Linked DNA regions of Danio rerio. The protein of the gene in region 1 interacts with the protein of each later gene in a biochemical or structural test. Links are inferred from orthologs where the notes say so. Each region holds a gene or a part of one and is shown in the gene's direction. Other genes may lie near its edges. The genes, in order: ppp1cc, tlx1 and nek2.

Region 1 (8,318 bases):
TTGGGATAAATTGCAGACCGTCTGTGTGTTTCCTCAGTAAGCTGGAGCTCCAGGAAGGCAACAACAACTGAGAGATGTGAATCCAACAGTTTATTGCTCTCTTCTAAAGAAGACTGGGGTATTCCCAGCTTTTATACATCATACTCAGGGTTACATGGGTTATGAATACGTGCAAATATTCAGCTCAGTTAGGCAGAACAATTTTATCCAGTGCTCAAGAATGTCAAGGCGCAACGTCAAGGCGCCTAGTACAGGGACAACTTACAATAAGATAAGACACAGTTACAAAACAGAATATTTGGAGAGTGACTACATGGATATTTCTTTCACTGTCATTGACTTAACATTGAACAAACTTTGTGAGCTCATACTATTTATCTATACTATTTCAAACTGTTTTACCTTTATCTATCTATCTATCTATCTATCTATCTATCTATCTATCTATCTATCTATCTATCTATCTATCTATCTATCTATCTATCTGTCTGTCTGTCTGTCTGTCTGTCTGTCTGTCTGTCTGTCTGTCTGTCTGTCTGTCTGTCTGTCTGTCTGTCTGTCTGTCTGTCTGTCTGTCTGTCTGTCTGTCTGTCTGTCTGTCTGTCTGTCTGTCTATTTATCTATCTACTCATACTTTTTTCAAACTGTTTTAAACTAAAAAACTATTACCAACAGGCTTTGTCAAGCCAGCCTCAAAGTTTGTCTCGACAAACTTAAATAATCTAGTTATTATTATTATTATTATTATTATTATTATTATTATTATTATTCAGAATCAGAATCAGAATTGGTTTTATTGCCAAGTGTGCTTCACACACAAGGAATTTGTTTTGGCTATAGAAGCTTCCAGTGTACATAAAGTGACGAGTGACAACACAAAATAAATATAGAAAAAAGAAAGACTATAAACATAAAACAGAGATGGGGTTAGTCAGACAGATCTGGATGTTGATACATATTAGTTATAAATATGCAGATTATGTGGTGCTGTGTCAAAAATTATTATTATTATTATTATTATTATTATTATTATTATTATTATTAGGCTATTATTATTATTATTAGGCTATTATTATTATTATTATTATTATTAGGCTATTATTATTATTATTATTATTATTATTATTATTAGGCTATTATTATTATTATTATTATTATTCGGCTATTATTATTATTATTATTATTATCATTATTATAATTATTAGGCTATTATTATTATTATTAGGCTATTATTATTATTATTATTATTATTATTATTATTATTATTAGGCTATTATTATTATTATTATTATTAGGCTATTATTATTATTATTATTATTATTATTATTATTATTATTATTATTATTATTATTATTATTATTATTATTATTCATTTAGGTTCTGTTGTGTTTGTATTAGGCTATGTGTTGGGTTTCTAACCACAATCTGTTCAGATGCTATGAAAAGTAAGTGCACATTACAGGAAACAAACACCAGAGGACGCTACAGTTCTGTTTCATTGAGGCAGGAATGAAAAATATCTCCTTTTCGTTGAGAAAAGCACATGCTGTTTATCATATAATTAACATATGGTAATAGCTTTTTAAAATGTGAGTTTTGCAAAAATGAATTTATACACAATGTTGTTTTGTCAGAGATGTGTCAGTGTTTTTAATGTGGTTTATTCAGAGGTACATTATGCAATTAATCTGAGGTGATCAGGATGCTGGAACAAGAACTAATTTCCCCCTAAAAGATGAGATGGTGAACATCTGATGCGGAACAGAGTTTGCTGTTGTGTTAGAGATAAGATATATTGATGACATATTATACATATTATTGACATAATGCTTTCAGCGTATTACAACAGCTCGTCACCCAGTGATAAGCACAGTTGTTCAGCAAAATTAAGGTTAAAGTGAGCAGCGTTCATCTGTGATAGCACCCTCCTAATGGATATTGGATAAGACGAGATGGCCAAGCATCCAGCCCAAAATATACAACTATCTCACTAAAACTCCAAGTGTTTTACAAGAGAGAAGTTAAAGACATACAAATCTTTGGATGCCAACAGTTTTGCTCTGAGCAAGAAATAATACTCCATGATAACCAGATTCAACACTGTAGAGCTGAAAACTGAGGTTCTGCCCAGCCAAAGACAAGGAAAGAAGACGGAGCTGTACAAGGCCTGGATAATCATCAACAAGCAGAACTACTGCATTCTCACAGCAAACTACACCTGTACAGCAGGTTATGTGAACACACATTTCATTCTAGGCATTCAGTGTCCGCAGTTTAATTAACCATATTGAACTGTTTTTGCTGCAATCAAAAACCAGTAACGTGTCTGATTCAGCATAGCGTGAACTCACCTGATATAACATGAGAACTGCAGAGTCCAGCATTTCTAATTAGGTCCTCACTCCATTCAGCTCCCTTATAGCTAAATATGTCTGCAGTTGGCATTAAAGCAGTGTGGTGTACGGTAAATGTTAAGCTGCATTTGAAAAGTTGGATTTGGCACCCTACCGCACAACTATTACTATTGACACCAGGAACCCCTGTGACGTAGGTTGATAATTTCTCTAAATATAGGCTTAAGTTTTTTAATTTAAAACAACTTTGAACAGATTCCTTATTTTATGATGGATAATAATAAATTAGCATTTGAAAAAATAAGTATTTTTTCGAATTTCTTAGTTCAAAATGTTTAATTTAAATTCTAATCTCATTACATTATTTGTAAAAAGTAATAGTGTAAATTTTAAATGCACAGTTGTAAATAAACACAATTTTTTGTTAATAGTATGGTAAGCACTTTGACAAAAATATAGGAAAATATTTGTTGCGTCAAAAAGTATTGTAATGATAACCATCCGACAAGCTAATCCAAAAATTTGTGCTTAAAATGTCAATGTATTTGATAAAAATGAGCCGAATAGCTGCAAAAAGTTCCACTTTTTGAGAACCCTTTTAATAGGCTGGCTACGGGCCTGCATTGCAATGCTGTAGTATTTTTAATACCTAAATTAGCATGAATTAAATGCATACTGAGTAAATACCTTACCACAAATGACAAAATATGTAATGGTATTGACAGTTGACAAAGGATGAGGTTAGTTAACATGAAAAGTAATGTCAAATACTATAAAACTAGTTTTTTTTTAATGCCAAAATCAGCATTAATTAATTTCTAATGCAAAAATACTACAAATTAAATAATATTTTTTTTACTATAATGAATGACAATTGACAAAAAAATGTGGTTAGTTAATATAAAAGGTCATGTCAAATACTGTAAAACTAGATTTTATGCCAAAATTAATAATTTTTTATTAGGTTATTATAATAAATAACAGTTGACAAGGCATCTGGTTAATTAACATAAACAGAACTGTCAAATAATGTAATACTAGTACATGTGTATACCCGAATCAGCATAAATTAAATGCATAATGCAATTTTTTCAAATGAAATAATATTTGTATTAGGTCTACTGTAATAACAGCATGCCAAAAGACGTTGTTGGTTAAAATAAATAATTATGTTAATGTGTAGGATATGTTTTAAACATGTGTTTTTAAAAGTTTTTCATTGCAATTAACATTCAACGTCACACGTTATTGTGAAAGTCAGCGGCACGCCCTCCTCTTTCCTCCGCACTACTTTTCTTCCTTTCCTTTGTGTTCATCCGCCCTCCCGTTTCCATCAGCGGTGAAACCGAGCCGAATTGCGTGTCCTTCCGCAGAGCCGGTGCGCCACCGCCGCAGCACGCGCGTCTAACGGGCCCGCTCGAGCATTTTAATCTTTTCTTTTAGAGTTTTGTGATTAACCAGTTTGTTTTTAATCGAAGTCGTTTTATCTGTCGTGTCTGGTGTGTTTTAAGCGGTGGTGTTTGTGTTTTTATCGGCTAGTCATGGCTGACATCGACAAACTCAACATAGACAGCATCATTCAGCGCCTGCTCGAGGGTGAGTTTCAAGCCAAGTGACAGCTAAAATGTACTTTTAATAACATAAGTAACTATATAATTGCCATAAGGGTTGTGTGTGTATATGTATATGCTTGATCTATCAACTCTGTCGTTTTTATGGATGTTACGTTAGCTGAGCTAGCGAGAGTTAGCTGCGCATTAGCTCTGCTCACTGACACAAACGGCTGTGTGTCAAATACAGAGTTTTCTACATAGACACTATACTGATATATTTGAAGATTATATATTATTGGTTGGTTTCGAATGGACAGTACTTTTGACTATAAAATACACTCTGTGTGGGCAGTTCACTGGTGTTTGTGACACTGCCAAGCTGTACGCGCGGTTTCGGTGCTTCAGTAAACACATTACGTTAGTACACTGACTAATGCTGATATTATGATATTGAATACATATTTGAGCATCAAAACAGCTGTTTATTAGTGTACCACAGTCATTAAAATTAACAACAGGGCTTGAAATGTCAAAAGTGTGATTTCTAGCGCTAGGAAAAACAATATTTTTGAGTTCAACCCAAATTTATACAATTTGAGGGTGTCATCTCTATAAAATGTTTATTAAAAATCCTTGCTTTAATTAGACATCTTAAAACCTTATTTAATGACTAACAATATGAAACTGTTGAAAATGAGAACTTTAAAACATGATAAACTCTTAATTCTGATTGAATATGAACACTGTATTTGCTTATATTATGACTTTAAACATGTATTATTATTACATGTAAATATATTTTTTAGGGGGGGAAGGACATCACATCCTGTACAACTGCAGGTTATACAGTGTTCATACAGTCATGGAAAACCTGGAAAAGTCATGGAATTTTTACATGGCATTTTCCAGGCCTGGAAAAGTTTTGGAAAAACAGAAAAACCTACACAGTTTTAGAAAAGTCATGACAAATACTTGAATATAGGCTTTTCTCTTATTTTCTGTCCTTGGCCAATCACATACTCTCATATTATTAGTGCGGTGTAAGCATTATCTAAATTAATTTTGCATGGATATAAATTGAAAGTAAATGGATTGTTGCATGTTTTATGCTATGCTCTAATAAATTTGAACATGCATTGCTTTTCTTTTACCACGCATATGTAGACATTGCATGAAACATTAGGTCATGAACATTTACATGAAAGTCTTGGCAAAATCATGAAATTTTAGTAGTAAAAATGTGTATGAGCCCAACTATGTTTACAACATTTTAGCTTTTTTTTGAATTGACTGTAATGAAATGTGCACCTTTTGTAAAGCTGCTTTGAAATGAATTATTGTGAAAAGCACTATACAAATAGATTTATATTTTATTATACAATGAATTGTATCTTTGCAAAATATAATTGCTTTCTGGAATGCATTATAAAAGCAGCAGGTGCAATAAAGGCAGAATGATTATGCAAGATTTTATAGTTTTATTGTATACAGTGAAGAAATGCATTTACATAACATTTCTCGCTTGTTTAATTTTTATATGCAACACAGTTCATATTGGCAGATATTATTATTTAGACTAACATTAAATGTATTATTAAGGTATGTATCCTTCATAAGCGGGTCTGACTTCAGATTTAGCACTGCAGCAGCTTTGACCCATTTTTACTTGTACTTTCTGCAGTAGTGATTTCAGCATCATACACATACTGATATGCATGTGCTTTTACTTTGTCCTCTTACACTGTAAAAAATATATTAGTGAACAGTTTCTCTATTTTGTGTGTTTTGGGTTTATTTGCGGTGGCAAATTGCATTATGCTATGTTGATCTCTCCTCTGTTGTATTTTTAACATCAAAAGTGCACAAAGTGACTTATTCACATTTTAGTCATTTGAAATAATAATATCATGTATAAAAATAATATCTAAAGAAATAAGTCTGTTAAAGAATAGAAAATGTTTGTTACAATGTTTTTGTAGCGTAATATACAACACCAACCAGACAGTATATCACTTTAAGCTATTAAAAAAGTAAATAAGTCACTTTTTTTAACTTTACAAGGTTAAAAGTTGTTGGAGGAAAGTAATAATCCAATTCAAAAGCGTAAATAAATGGGGGAAAGTAAAAACATGAATCACAAAATACATAAAACTGCTTATTTAAAGATTTTTTATTGCTTAGGTTTATTTTTATGCAGTGTGAAATAATGGCTGCGCTAAAATTTTGACATTGTCATGGAGAGATGCTATAAATTATATTTGGGTAATAATAATGCATAATGTTTAATTATGATGCACCTTTCTAAGCTCAAAGCGCCACAACATTTACAAACATAAGGTTGCAACCAAAGCCTAAATTACAAACTTTCATAATCAAATCTCTGTATTAATTCACATCGCAATAATGAATAAAAAACAATTAAGCAAATTTATTTTTTAAAATGTCAGTGATATCACAAATGGGCAAATATGGCTCTAAATTTAAAATTATTTATTTTAAAATAAATATATTACCAGTATATTAGGAACACCCTACTCCTTGCATATTTTCTAAGATTCCTCTGTTAAATATTTTATTAGACTGTCCTGCTTTTAATGTTTGTAGAAGACTTTTAATGAAGTTTTAAATAATTATTCAGTAAAGATTTGACCGAAAAACGTTTTTGAATTTTTCTTATATATTAATGTAAAATGCCTGATGTATCTTGTTTGTTTGTATGTTTTTATTGCTTGTTTGAATAGTTTTTTCTTTTTGCTTTAAAATTAAAGGCTACAATCAACAGCCCAAATTATTACTTTTGTTTTTTATTAATCTTCCAAATCAGTACTCCGATTAAAAAAATGTCTGCAAACATGTAAAAGCCATATTTTTCCCTAAAATCTACATTTGTAACATTGTTTCTGCTTTGGTGAAATATAAGACACATGCACCTTACTAAAGACCAATAGCAAACATTTACAGCACAATTATGTGCTTTTAAGCATGGTGAGCAGAACATGCACACCTTTAATTATCCCCAGAAATGTTTACAGAAATAATAACCATGATTTATTGTTTATGCATCAACATCAAGGCCAGAACTAATGAATACATTGACTGCATAAAAAAAGAGTTTTTTTGCTATAAAATGTCAGGATGAAAAGCAAAGAAAAAGGAAAGCAATATATGGTAACACTTATACACACTAGTCATTCATTATTTCATTCATTTTCCTTTGGCTTACTCTCTTTATTTATCAGGGTTCGCCACAGCGGAATGAACCACCAACTTATCCACTATCCAGCATATGTTTTACGCAGTGGATGCCCTTGCTATTTAATTTATTCAATTCCCCTATAGCGCATGTGTTTGGACTAAAGGCATGGGCCGGTATAAGATTCTGACGGTATAATAACCTTGTATAAAAGTATCACAGTTTTGCGGTATTGGGATTACTGTACTAAAATATATATATTTTAAATGTCTGGGAAAAAACCTAAAACTTTTTTCCCTTTTGAACACAGTAGGTTTTACTTTGAGAAACATTTAAAATATTTAGGAGCAGAAAATGTGTCAGGCTAAATGAATTATTGACTTCTGCTGTCTTTATTTGTTTTAAAAACTTTTTTTTTTTACAATTTAAAACGGCATCTTCTGCTGAAGATACTGTTGTCTTAAAAACACACACGCACGCACGCACGCACGCACACACACACACACACACACACACACATACACACACACACACACACAAAAACGTTTATAAAAATCATAAACATACCTTAGGGATGGTATTGCAGAAAATTTTCACCATTTTAAAACCTTGGCTTTTCCAAACCGTGGTGTACCTTGGTGTTGACTGTCTCAATTCAGGCTAAACTGCTGGCTTATAACCTGCCTATTATTAAGATATTGACTGTTGATTATTAGTTATAAATTACGTTTTTATTCTATATCCCTAATCCTACCCAACCCCCCAAAAAAACTCTTTTACCTTATAACTATTAATAAACAGAAATTAGTAGTTTATTAAACTAATAATGCCAGTTATCGGTTTGTTAATGTCATGAGTTGTGACCTAAACCTTTGTGTCAGCTGGAAGATTTTTTTTAAATGACCAGATTCAGTCTTGCTTAATTTCCCTTTTTGCATACTTTTATGACTAATTATGCCATTATTTGATATCAGCTCTTTAAGCCTAATATCTATTTTTATGTGAGCTCCTCCTCTCGTGATGCTTTATAATGTTAACAGTGTTTCGTAGAAACCTCACCCTGTTTTTCCGCCTTCTCAGAGTTTAGATGGAGCCAGTTGCACCACCTGCATGTTTATTGCTATACAGCCTAGAAACTAGGCAGGGCGTGAGGAGTGTACTTATATCTGCTTGACTAGTATTAATACGGCTGTCCCCTTGGCAGTCTGCTCTCGTTAT
Region 2 (8,333 bases), on another chromosome or scaffold:
TTTTTACTTGCAGTTGAATTTACATCCGTCAGGCTATTTTCTCATTGCAAAAGCATTTTGTTTTCCTTCTCGACTGTAAGAAATATTATATTGAATGGTAATCTATCAAATAATTGTCCAGACTATGACAGACACATTATCCAGTAAAACAAGTCATTAGCATGGGAGACACAACAAGTTAATGGATGTAACGTCCCTCAGCACCTCAGCAACTGAACAGGACATTTGTTAACTGGTGCTTGGTCATCATTTCAGACAATTTCTGACTCACCTCAGTGCTGCGTGTTTTTCATTTACTTTTTGCTCGCACACTCCCTTGAGAAGCAGTTTTTGCTTCAAACTATAGATCAATATGAAAGCTAAAGAGAATTTTTTATTTTTTTTCGGAATGCAAGTCTTTTAAAAAATGGTTATAGTTTTTTATGTGGTAAATATATAAGCAGTTGTGTTCTCGAATTTCCTTTTTAACAATACAGGCCAAAAAAAATGCCCGGTTTTCTTCCCCTTTGACATAATGCATTAAGAAGCTCTATTTGCTGGGTTCATCAATCTATTTCAGAGGTTAAAGACAGTGAACCTGACATTCTGTCCTCCAAAAATAAAAGCCTGTTTCCTTTGTCATGGAGCTGAGAACTGTACTTCTACAGCAGTAGCTTTACAAATAGATTAAAGTATAAAGCAATGATTTCCCATATACTCTACCTTAAGTTCTTTTTAGGTGTAAAAATCACGATTTCACTCTTAAAATTAAAGATCATAAAAAAGTGTGTTTTTGCATTATACAGTGTTCAGCACAAATAAGTACAACCCTATTTGAGAAAAAAATATTTTTATCCATTGCTAATATATTTTGGTGCACTTAAACAAAACAATTTTATTAAACAATTATATATTTAGGAATATAAAGATAATACATTTAAATTCAAATTAGTTATTAAACAATTTTTACAAACTACAAATTTGTAACTATTTTCTTTGTTTCTCTTGATTTTTATAACTAACTAATCTAATTTATATACACAATTTTATTATTGTAAAGTGCCCTTTAGAAAATATGAATTTAAAAGAGATATAGTTTCCGAAATAACCGTTTAGTGAGCAGCTCCTTAGAGAAATATTTTTTCTTAACAAAAAATACATTTTAATGATCTGAAGAATCTTTTTCCAAATTCTAAAGGATGATTGAAATTTAATATTTGTCTCTGTAATGCATGGATTTCCATCTTTCATGGACCCACAAATATGACCATTGTCATATTTTGCTGGTCACTATTTACCACCTTTATTGTTTAATGTTTATATACTAAATTTATACTTTGAAAAAATGAAGTAATAAATCATAATACAAAATATAGAACTTATATTACTGTATTTATTCACTTAAAATCTTTTTATTTTTATATTTTACTAACAGTACACTGTTGCATTCATCTGACAAATTTTTATTTTATTTTAGACTTATTAATTAATTCTATTAATTCAATTCTATATTATTTTATACTGAATATATGTAAATTTCCATGGATCCCCTGTCACTCCCTTGTGGCCCCTTGCGGGTCCCTATAGACCCTAGTATTATTTAAAATAGATTTTTTTAAGCCGCTCTTAGAATCTATCATTTTTAGAATGATGCTATATAGTTGCAAATTTGAGTAAAGCGAAATGGCTTGATTGTTTGGCGTGTAGATGAAAGCCCTTCATGAATAGATGCTCTTGAAGCTGTCAGCAGCAGGACTGCGCGCTCTCCACAGATGCAGATGATGGAAGCGGCGCCAGTGAGCGCAGATAGATCACATGTCAAACATTACACAGGTATAGACTGATGAGGATGATGATGCGCCGCAGACAATTCTAACGAAAAAACGGTGCACGTATGGGGGAAGACACATTTAAAGACTGTTTTCCTATATAGCACATCAATCTGTAAATTATTTTAAGCGTCATGGAAAGAAAATTAAATAATTATGAAAATCTGTCATTGTATCAAAGGGATAAACCGTAATTGTTTGCACACACATTTTACGCGAGAAAACCTCAAAACAGATTTGCGCATGAAAAAAACAGTGATAGGAATTCACTTAGAAACTCTTTTCTATGCATTTATTCTTTAAATGCATTTTGATAAACGTGTTTGTTTTGAAATTTAAGTCAATATATTTCCAGTCACATCAGTTTGCATCAGATGAATAAAGTGAAGCCTTAAGTGGGTGCGCAATAAATGACACTTTTCAAGTGGACCTTGGTGAGTGAATAATGGCTATAATTAAACATAATCGGACCGTCCCAAATGATTTCAGCACTTTCAACATCTACTGACTTCATATTTTTTCTTTTAAAACGTATAAAACAAACTAATCGTTTGTATTTTAAGCACCATGCAGCTCACGTATATAACATTTATGATTAAGTCTAGATTACTGAAACAAACAACAAAGAATTTTAGCAAAAATACACACCATTGCACTCATTAAACTTTGATGTCGGTCATTTGGCCTGCATTAATCTAAAGCGCATCAAATATTAATACTTTAATGCGTTAAATAATCACATCCCCTTTCATCTAGAAGGAAATCGATTACCTAATGTGCTTGCTATCCGAATATATTTTGTTGTGTTATTGTCTGATTTAGTAAGATTAATGGATACAAAAGAAAATTAATAATTAATAAAAGTAGTCGTCACAATGCATCGGATCAGTAACCAAAATTATGTGAATTAAATTAATGTCATGGCTAACAATTTTTCAAATAAACGATGAATCTGAAACATTTAGTTCCTTGACATTAACCCATCTTATAATAAGAATGCTGTTTTACACAGTTATAGACGACTATGAATGACTGATTTAATTTCACAATGAAATGTAACATTGTGACACTATTTGTCTTTTAATAAACTCTGTGTGACTTAACCCTCTCTAAAACACTGACAAATGACAGTAATTCTTTTAAATCTAATCCAAAAGTTGATGTCCGCGAAATATTGATTTTTTTTTTTTTGTCGTCTAACAAGAGTGAAAATGACGACCAAGACAAAAAAAAATCAAATGTATCCAAAGACAACAAGAGAGGCTGTGGGGCCAAGATAATAATCTGACCGAAGCAGACATTTTGTGTTGTTTTGAGTAATCGGCCGTGCTTTGCTTTAATAAACCATCTATTTGAGTTGCCCTGTGCTGAAGAGGGAATTCCAGTGGATTTCACTGAACACACTCGACGTGGTTTCTCTAGCCAATTGGGTCTCTCAGCCCAGAATTGGAGGCTTAATTTTACCCAGCCTCTTTGGCATTTTGATTGATGTTCCCGTGGCTCCATCCGGCAGGCTATAGCTATAAGGGTAAAGGGGGGCAGTAAAAGATAATCGTCTGTAGTTCCGTCTTTCTCACACATGCAGTCAATGCAGTTAGATAACGACAAGTCTGGACTAAACTGCGTTTTAGTTGCTGTATGATAACTCGGGTGACGTGGGGGATCGCAGGAGCGCGCGCCTCTCCACACCATGGATCATATGGGAGCGCATCTCCACCAGACGCACGCAGACACCATCAGTTTTGGGATCGATCAGATTCTCAACAATGCAGACCAGGGGAGCTGCATGATCACCAACCCCAGAATGCAGGACCTGGACTACGGTTTGGGCTGCATAGTCAGCACAGCATACAATACCATGACTGGTAACTACAACGTCAATAACTCCTCTGGATACAATGGAAACTCTTGCAGCGTCGGGTCCTACAACATGAACTTGGGCGCGAATGTTAACGGAAATTGCCTTAATTCGTCGGGAGTGATCCGGGTTCCTGCACACCGGCCGCTGGGCAGCGTTCACTCGTCCATTCCCACAAGCGCTGCCACGGTGCCAAGTATGGGAAGCATGGGCACTATTAACAATCTCACGGGATTAACGTTTCCGTGGATGGAGAGTAACAGGAGATATACCAAAGACAGGTTTACAGGTACAGAGACCATCTAAATGTTCTGTAATATTTGCCCGCGCTAGTTTACACAGAATTATGCGTAATTCCAAATTTGCATTGTAAAAAAAGATTTCGTCATGTATAAATACATGCAATCAATGATTCAACTTCTCAGCGGTTAAAGCGGTCGAAAAACTTAAATTTGCCCACTCATAAAATAGCTTAAAGATATTAGGCCAGCAAATATTTAAATTTAGTTGAATTTCCATCGCAGATTCATGGATTAAAATGATTTAAATGAACGTTATGTTTTAAGGACTTTCTAAAAACAATTCAAAGTTCTGTATGCTATAAACTTTTGCCTTGCTAATTAAAAGTATAATCAAATGACTCTTTTTCGATCGCAATGCATCTGAAGGCCAAAAATAAATAAATAAAATTAAATCCACAGAGATTTTTTTTCCTAAGGTAATATGCAAGAAGTAGGCAAGGCATGCAATTTTTACATGGTTGTCAGTTTTTTGGTTTATATATTTATTTATTTATTTATTTATCACACTTTATTACAATTAAGCATATACATAATTTACACGATAGGCCCTATTTGCGGTATAAACATTTTTTTTATAAATTAAATAGGCTACACGATGCAGAGTGAAATTGTACAGTTGTTACTTTAATGTGTCATTGATTTGACAGCAAAAATAACTTTCATTTATGTGATCTAGTTGATTCAAGGCTGAATATGAAGTGTTTAATGTCTAACATTTATTTAAATATTTTATTTCATTCATTATTTTAACATTTAACACGTTACTAGGAAATATTTTGAAATGAGATAGCCTACTCATGTCTATTTGCTTGCTTGGCTGAACTAATTTAATATATTTTGTGATTGTTGCATGTTTTAAAAGGACCAATGTCAACCTTCTTTTCTAAAAGCCGCATTTGCCTTCCACTGCTTGGCTTTTGTCGTTTTGCTGATTTCTTCCGCTTGCTTTTCACTCTGTCTCTCAATCCAGTGGCCCTCTCACCGTTCACTGTAACACGCCGTATAGGTCACCCGTACCAGAACCGAACACCTCCGAAGAAGAAGAAGCCCCGGACGTCGTTCACGCGCCTTCAGATATGTGAGCTGGAGAAACGCTTTCACCGTCAGAAGTATCTGGCGTCAGCCGAGAGAGCAGCCTTAGCGAAAGCACTTAAAATGACTGATGCGCAGGTCAAAACATGGTTCCAGAACAGAAGAACGAAATGGAGGTGAGCTTTTGCGATCTAATCAAGGCTTTACACTCACACGTAATGCATTCTTTTTCGTCTCAGCACTAAACCCAGCAGAGTATTTTGTTTTTAAATAAACCGTGAGGTCAGCTGGGTCAGTTTCATAATGCATTCCATAGGTTTGAAAGGTCTGTTCACTCAATATAGATGCAATCAATAGCTATGTCAGTGGCTAAATGTACTATTTTTATTAAACATATTCCAGGTTATAGTGAAACCAATATATAACCTAAAAATTTTAGTCTTAGTTGCGAAGGTTAATTAACTGATGTTCAATATAGTGATTTAAAAAAGGTTTATGATTAGATCATTTTTATGCAAATTAGTAGAGATATTTAGTACAAATTAATAATTGACATGTGAAATATAAATTATGATGATTCGACTAAATGCGATATTTTCTATGAGAACTTCCAAATTATAGGATATTTACACACACACACACACACACACACACACACACACACACACACACACACAAATACATGTACTGATATAAATTGATATACGTTGGCCTGTTTAAAAAAATAAATAAAAATAACAATTATATATATATATATATATATATATATATATATATATATATATATATATATATATATATATATATATATATATATACAAACATGCCAACGTATATCATTTTATATCAGCTTTTTACTAAATTTTAAATTAATGAAAAAAGTGATATGAACGTTTATGAAACGAAATATGTAAACGAAGTTCATTATTTTAGCAAATCCACATCATCAAGTAGCTATATAGCCTATTATATGAACTATGTAAGCTTGCTATAATAATTATAATAAATTTAAAATGTATATTTTTTGGAACGTTGGACACTATAAATAAAAACTGTGTTCGTTTGAAGCAACAATATATATATATATATATATATATATATATATATATATATATATATATATATATATATATATATATATATATATATATATATATATATATATATATATATATATTATGCATACAAAGAGGGGGTAAACATAGGCTAATTGTATTCTTTGTAAATAAGATTACCTGTATACATTTCTGGCAGATTTTACAAATGAATACGAACGAATACAGATTTTCTGGATTCACTGACTAAAATACTTTTGTTAAACCCATGCAGGCGGCAGACAGCGGAGGAGAGAGAAGCCGAGCGACAACAAGCCAACCGAATTCTAATGCAGCTTCAGCAAGAAGCTTTTCAAAAGACTATAAACCAGCCTGTTACTCCAGACCCAATCTGTCTACACAACAGCTCTCTATTCGCACTTCAGAACCTGCAGCCCTGGACTGAGAACACGGCAAAAATCAGCAGCGTTCCCAACACTGACTGATGGAGACTTGTGGACGCGCGGTGTACAGAGGAATATCCCAACAGCACATTACTTCTTTTAACTAAATTACTATTTTATTTGTAACATGAAACTTGTTTAAAGTAACTTTAATAATTGCCTTTCTCGTGCAGAATAATCAGTTTTGAAATTGATTTTTATAGGTTTGATCATTTCCATTTTAAAATGCAACGAACAAATTGTTATTGCGCATTTGGTTTGTCTCTTGCGCATTCATTTTATTTGGTATATACCATACCTACTTCTAAGATCTGACGCGTGTGATAACACTTTATAATACCTTAAATTAAACATCACAACATTTTACAAATGAAATATAGATAACAAACGTACGAGCCTTAGTTAAATTAGGGGCTTTTCTAAAAGCATAATAATTTAATTTAATTGATATTAGGTCAGAAATCGCCACAGAACTAATTGTGCATGGGCTATGTTAAATTAGAACACCTAAATGGATAAATAAAATTGCCATAGCACACATCTTCCTCCGTCACTAGAAAAAGGCTCTCTGTTCTAATACTTTTTTGTGGAGAAAAAGGAGCATTACTGCTTGTTTGGTGAAGCTAAAACGAATAGTGAACGCCACCTTTCTGATGTAGCCTATGAAATATACGGTAAGCGTCGTTATTAAAATCCTTTTTATTGAAAGAATAGGCACACGCAGGGTGAAAGGTTGCACTTCTTAACCCACAATCGAGCGAAAACTAAAGTTTCTCTTTTACTGTCTTACGACGGTCTCTTTCACTTCTGACAGTTTACAGTCGCGATACCCTCTGTCAGTAGAATGTGAATTGAAAAATTAAGCTATTAAAATCGTTTAATTGGGTGTACTTTGAATATAAAGGAATTAAAAAGTAAATGTATCCAAGTTCAAAGTACTAAATAGTCGATTTGTTCAATATTTAATAGCCTATATGCACATTTTTAACTTGTTCCTACACTGAAAGAAAATGGATAATATTACAGTTATTATAAACTGTTATCACAAAATTAATATTATTATTATTATTAGGCTTACCAATTTGGCTTTTGTTACTATTTTTTTTTATAATCACAGAGGGACCGAATTTTTGCACGTTTGTTAACCTAAGTGGGCTAACATTTTTAAAAATCGACACGATTTAAAAGTAGTCTACAAGGGTCTACATAATGGAATTTCATTTGTTATGCAACTATGGTGAAGACGGGGCGTGAAATAAAGCACTTGTTATGCAGAAATGTTGTTGGGACTTCCCAGAATTATTATTCGTTGTCAAATAGCCTACTTATTTTAACATTATCTGTGACCCTGGACCACAAATCCATGCAGGAACATTTTTTGAATAGCCAAAAATATGGGTTAAATTGTTGATTTTTTAATGCCGCAACTATTAGCTAACACTTTACAAAAAGGTTTTACTTAACGATAGTTCATGTTAGTAAATATAAAACCTTATTGTAAAGTGTGACCCGAAAATTAATTGTTGCATGAAGATATTTTGTATATTTCTTATATGAGTATAGGTATCGAAACCTTTTTAAATTAGTAATATGCATTGCTAGAACTTTATTTGGACATCTTTAAGTGCAGTTTTTTAAATGTTTTTGATTGGTTTTAATTTTTGAATTCCAGTTTTAGAATTGCATGTTTTCAATAGGCTCTCTCAGCCAAATATTGTCGTATCCTAACAGATCATATAAATGGAAAAATGTGGTCCATGGTCACATTTGTAAATTCATGATTGCTGGATAGTTTGTCTTTTGTTGTATATGTGGTTGGAAACCATCTAAAGCAG
Region 3 (4,097 bases), on another chromosome or scaffold:
GGCCCTATTATTCAAGTGAAAATGAATGGTTTTATCTCGGTGTCTGGCAGGCTATTTATCTCGAACTCGTATCCTGTCGTCGGCTGTAAAGGAGAAGTTTGTCAACTTCCATCAGGGCCACGCCCGGAGCCAACCAGCGCCACGAACACAACGCTGCTCCCTAGCGGGCCACCAGTGCACTGTGTAATAGAGCCCTATAAACAAAATCAGTCCTATGTTGCTTAATGTGTAGGCTTTATTTTTATTTTTATTTATTTTTTTTTGGCAAGAAGCAAAATACAATTTACATCAAATTTAATCTATTTTAATGGCAATTATCCATATTGAGTAAACTTCGTATTCCATGAAGACATTTTTGTAACTTTCCAACTATAAATCTTCATAGACAACTTTAAATGGAATTTTTAAATAGTTGTCTCTTGTCTAAATGTATATTACAACAAAAACATAAATATATAAATTATAAATACATATTTCTCATTAATCATGCGTTTGGAAAAATCAGTAGCCAGTTTCTTTTGAAAAAATAAACAAATTGCTTCTTGACTCAAAATCTTTCACCGTTTAAAGCAATGGGTTTAAAGCAGTTCGAAACACCACGGGCTGACGACACCTGCTGGCCACCATATGTATGCAAATAATCATCTTCAGTGTCTGTTGGTTGGATGGTTTGTTTATTTGTTAGTTCTAGATGACTCAGGCTAATATGACATAATCAACACTAAAGATGAATAGGGTAAAACAATAAACAGGTTTTTGTTTGGTTTTGTTACTTTCTATTTGTACATCTAAGAGTGAAATGTTTTTTTTTTTTTTTTTTTTGGAGAGGGGAGTTAGTGGTCTCTCTTTTTATCACTTCATAATTCTAGCTAAATGTATTATTATTAACTGTGATCAGGCAAAACTGTTGTGTGGTTCACCGTTAATGAAGTTGGAAATAGTGATTTTTAATAAAGCTATATGCCTGCTTACGTTACCTAAAGTCAAATCACTAATCAAATAATGATTATAAATAATTACAACTTTGAAATTTGTTCTGACTATTGATGTCAATGGCTGCTCCTTTCCAGCTACTTTATTTTCAAAAGATGAAAGATGTTCATAAAGGTTTGGACAGGACAACTTTAATATACGACGCTGTTCCCGGGCGTTCTCGCGGTTCTTCGGCGCCTGGCAACGTGCACGCTGTGCGTCTGTACGGACCAATGAGATCACTGCCAGCCATCGAGCAGAGCCAATCAGAATCCGGCGTTTGCGCACACGTTTGAAAATCAGCTTATTTTGTCGCGTCTGTTTGTTTCTCAACTCACAAAATACGTACACGCGTTTTAACTAAGGGTAAACAATAAAACACACTGGAAGTAAAACCACAGCGTTCAAGTAGTGAGTGAGTTACGGTAAGTGAACTCATTTCGTTAATCATGTGTTGTGTTATCCTTACAGTTCGCTAATGATAAATAATTGAGGTCTGCTGTATTTGTGAAGTGTGTTTGGATCTGCTGAGTTGCTGTTGAACGCGATGCCATCCAAAACTGAAGACTACGAGGTGCTGCTCACCATAGGATGTGGATCTTATGGAAAATGCCAGAAAATCAAAAGGAAATCCGATGGAAAGGTTGATAACATACCGACTTAACTGAGCTTTGCATAAATAGTATGCTTTTGTATACTTTCTGTAATCGACCTTTAATAAAAACAGCTAATGGTTAAGGTTAAGGTGGTCTTATATTCGCACATTCTGACTTTCTTCTTTAATTAATTTCAGAAAAGTGTTTTTTTGTTGTTGGAAATACTAAATAGGGAAGTCATATTAAGAGCCAATGGCTATCAAAGCACAACATTGTTTTCAGTCAGTAAATAGTGCTGTTGTTGTTTTGAAAGTATACTTAAATGCAATTTAGGTCAGAATATTCAACATGGAATGAATATCAAAATCGGAAGCGTTAAAATGAACGAATATGCGTATTTTAAAACAAATGTTCCTAAATGTTAGGAATCAAAGGCTGAAGCGGTCCCCAAAAAGTTGCATATTGTATCAAGCTGTTTATGCTCAAATTCACGTTAATTTATACCGTTTGTATGTTGGCGTGTCATAATAATCAATATATTGACTTATGAACATATGGACATGACCTCAATAATTTTTTTGTGATTCAATATATATCGCTCATACATAATAAAAACTATTATAGTAACGTTTTAGCTGATTTTGGAGCTCATATTGGATTTGTGAGCATCAGTATGGTTAAAAACACTAGTATTTAGTAGAAATTCCTATTGTATGTTTTCACGTGGGTGTCTGACAGCTGAAAATAGATCTGGTAGCAGATATCACAGCCTCTTTTACTTTTTACCTCACAATTTTTGTTAATATTTATTATTATTCATTTAGTATAGGCATTTTCACACTCTGATTCCAATGCCTAATTATTAAATTGATTAAATTCCAATGCCTAATTATTAAATTGGTTAAATTACTATAATTAAATTAAATATTCATAAGAAAATATGTGTTGTTTGGAAGAGTGTACTTGCATTGTGATGCTATTATATTGTCAATACCACAATATATTTTGGTGCAACATAGAATCAGATATTATGACAGGCCTATTTGTATGTTATGATCTAGTGCAACTAGAAAAGTAATATTGCCAGCTGGTCGTAGCAGATTCTTTGGTGTTTTTCCCAGTGGATTGATCTGAATCATGTCTTATCTAGATTCTGGTCTGGAAGGTTCTGGACTATGGCACTATGGCCGAGGGAGAGAAACAGATGCTGGTGTCAGAAGTCAACTTGCTCCGTGAGCTGAAGCACCCAAATATCGTCCGATACCATGACCGAATTATTGACAGAACGAACACGACATTATATATAGTGATGGAATACTGTGAGGGTGGAGATCTCGCCAGCCTCATCAACAGAAGCATCAAAGACAAGTAACGTTACAATATATGAAAGTTGATCCAAAAATGAACCCTTCCTCATTTTCTCACAGTGGTTTGAAACTTTTAGAAATGTCTTTTTTTCTGTTGAACACAAAGCAAGATATCCTGAAAAATATCAAATAAACCATTGACATTCATTTTTAGGAACAAATTTATTGATATCGGTCGGTGGGTATTTTTTCTTCGGTATCTTCTTTTGGGTTTGACAGAAGAAAGGAACTCAAACACATTTGAAACAAGTAAATATAGACAGAATTTTCATTTTTGTGTGAACAATCTCTTTAAACTTCTGCTGTTTTGTTGTTCAAGCTTCTTCTAAATTACAGATTTTTTTTTTCCCCTTTCTTTGCAGGCGATACCTGGAGGAAGAATTCATCCTGCGTGTGATGGCACAGTTGTCTCTGGCGTTAAAAGAATGCCATGGTAGGAGTAACGGCAGCAGTACAGTTCTGCACCGAGACCTGAAACCAGCAAACATCTTTCTGGATGCCAAACAGAATGTAAAGCTTGGCGATTTCGGTTTAGCTCGCATACTAAACCACGATACAAGCTTTGCTAAAACGTTTGTTGGAACGCCATATTACATGTCGCCAGTAAGTGTTCTTTATCTTGAAGCATTCACCTTTTGTCCATTTATTAATACAATCATTTAAATATGGTAGGGCAGGGGGATGTCAGTATATAAGTGACAGTCTTGTATCCTAATAATCTTTATTTCTTTTACTATGTAGATTGTGTCAAAGCAGCTTAACATAGAAGTTGTATTAAATTGAAACTCTCAGTTCAGTTTTGCTCTTCAGTGTTTGGACTAAGCTGTAAAAATTAAACCACACTGAACTGAACTAATCCATCGATGCTCAGATCCACAAGTCCCAAATTAAGCGAGCCATGATAATCTTATATATCATAGCACTTTTTCTGTAAATTCAGTCAATTAATAGTTTATATTCTGTATATTGAGTTTATCGAAAGCACTATTTCTATTTATTGAGGTAAAGTTGGTTTTTGGGCCATTCCAAACCTCAACATTTATTTTTATAAAAAAAAAAAAAAATGAAAAAAGAGCTCATGAATATTACAATAAATTGTAAGTAAAAGATATTTGAAAAAGTATTGGTTACCAAATTGTTTGTTATACTGCTTGCCTTCTTT

Evidence for each region.
Region 2: the proteins of ppp1cc (region 1) and tlx1 form a complex in vitro, tested with the Homo sapiens proteins (2 studies listed by BioGRID). The link is inferred for Danio rerio from reciprocal best matches to the Homo sapiens genes PPP1CC and TLX1.
Region 3: the proteins of ppp1cc (region 1) and nek2 interact in far-western blotting, tested with the Homo sapiens proteins (2 studies listed by BioGRID and IntAct). The link is inferred for Danio rerio from reciprocal best matches to the Homo sapiens genes PPP1CC and NEK2.

Annotation. Positions count from the first base shown.
Region 1 is NC_133180.1:2,462,075-2,470,392, forward strand, and holds the start of ppp1cc (serine/threonine-protein phosphatase PP1-gamma catalytic subunit A), read left to right. Parts: upstream 1-3,713; 5' UTR 3,714-3,895; coding exon 3,896-3,950; intron 3,951-8,318. UniProt on the Homo sapiens protein: Protein phosphatase that associates with over 200 regulatory proteins to form highly specific holoenzymes which dephosphorylate hundreds of biological targets.
Region 2 is NC_133188.1:31,652,862-31,661,194, reverse strand, and holds tlx1 (T-cell leukemia homeobox protein 1), read left to right. Parts: upstream 1-3,386; 5' UTR 3,387-3,498; coding exon 3,499-3,955; intron 3,956-4,938; coding exon 4,939-5,176; intron 5,177-6,329; coding exon 6,330-6,540; 3' UTR 6,541-7,745; downstream 7,746-8,333. UniProt on the Homo sapiens protein: Controls the genesis of the spleen. Binds to the DNA sequence 5'-GGCGGTAAGTGG-3'.
Region 3 is NC_133195.1:15,119,767-15,123,863, forward strand, and holds the start of nek2 (serine/threonine-protein kinase Nek2), read left to right. Parts: upstream 1-1,297; 5' UTR 1,298-1,397; intron 1,398-1,485; 5' UTR 1,486-1,519; coding exon 1,520-1,615; intron 1,616-2,718; coding exon 2,719-2,936; intron 2,937-3,297; coding exon 3,298-3,538; intron 3,539-4,097. UniProt on the Homo sapiens protein: Protein kinase which is involved in the control of centrosome separation and bipolar spindle formation in mitotic cells and chromatin condensation in meiotic cells.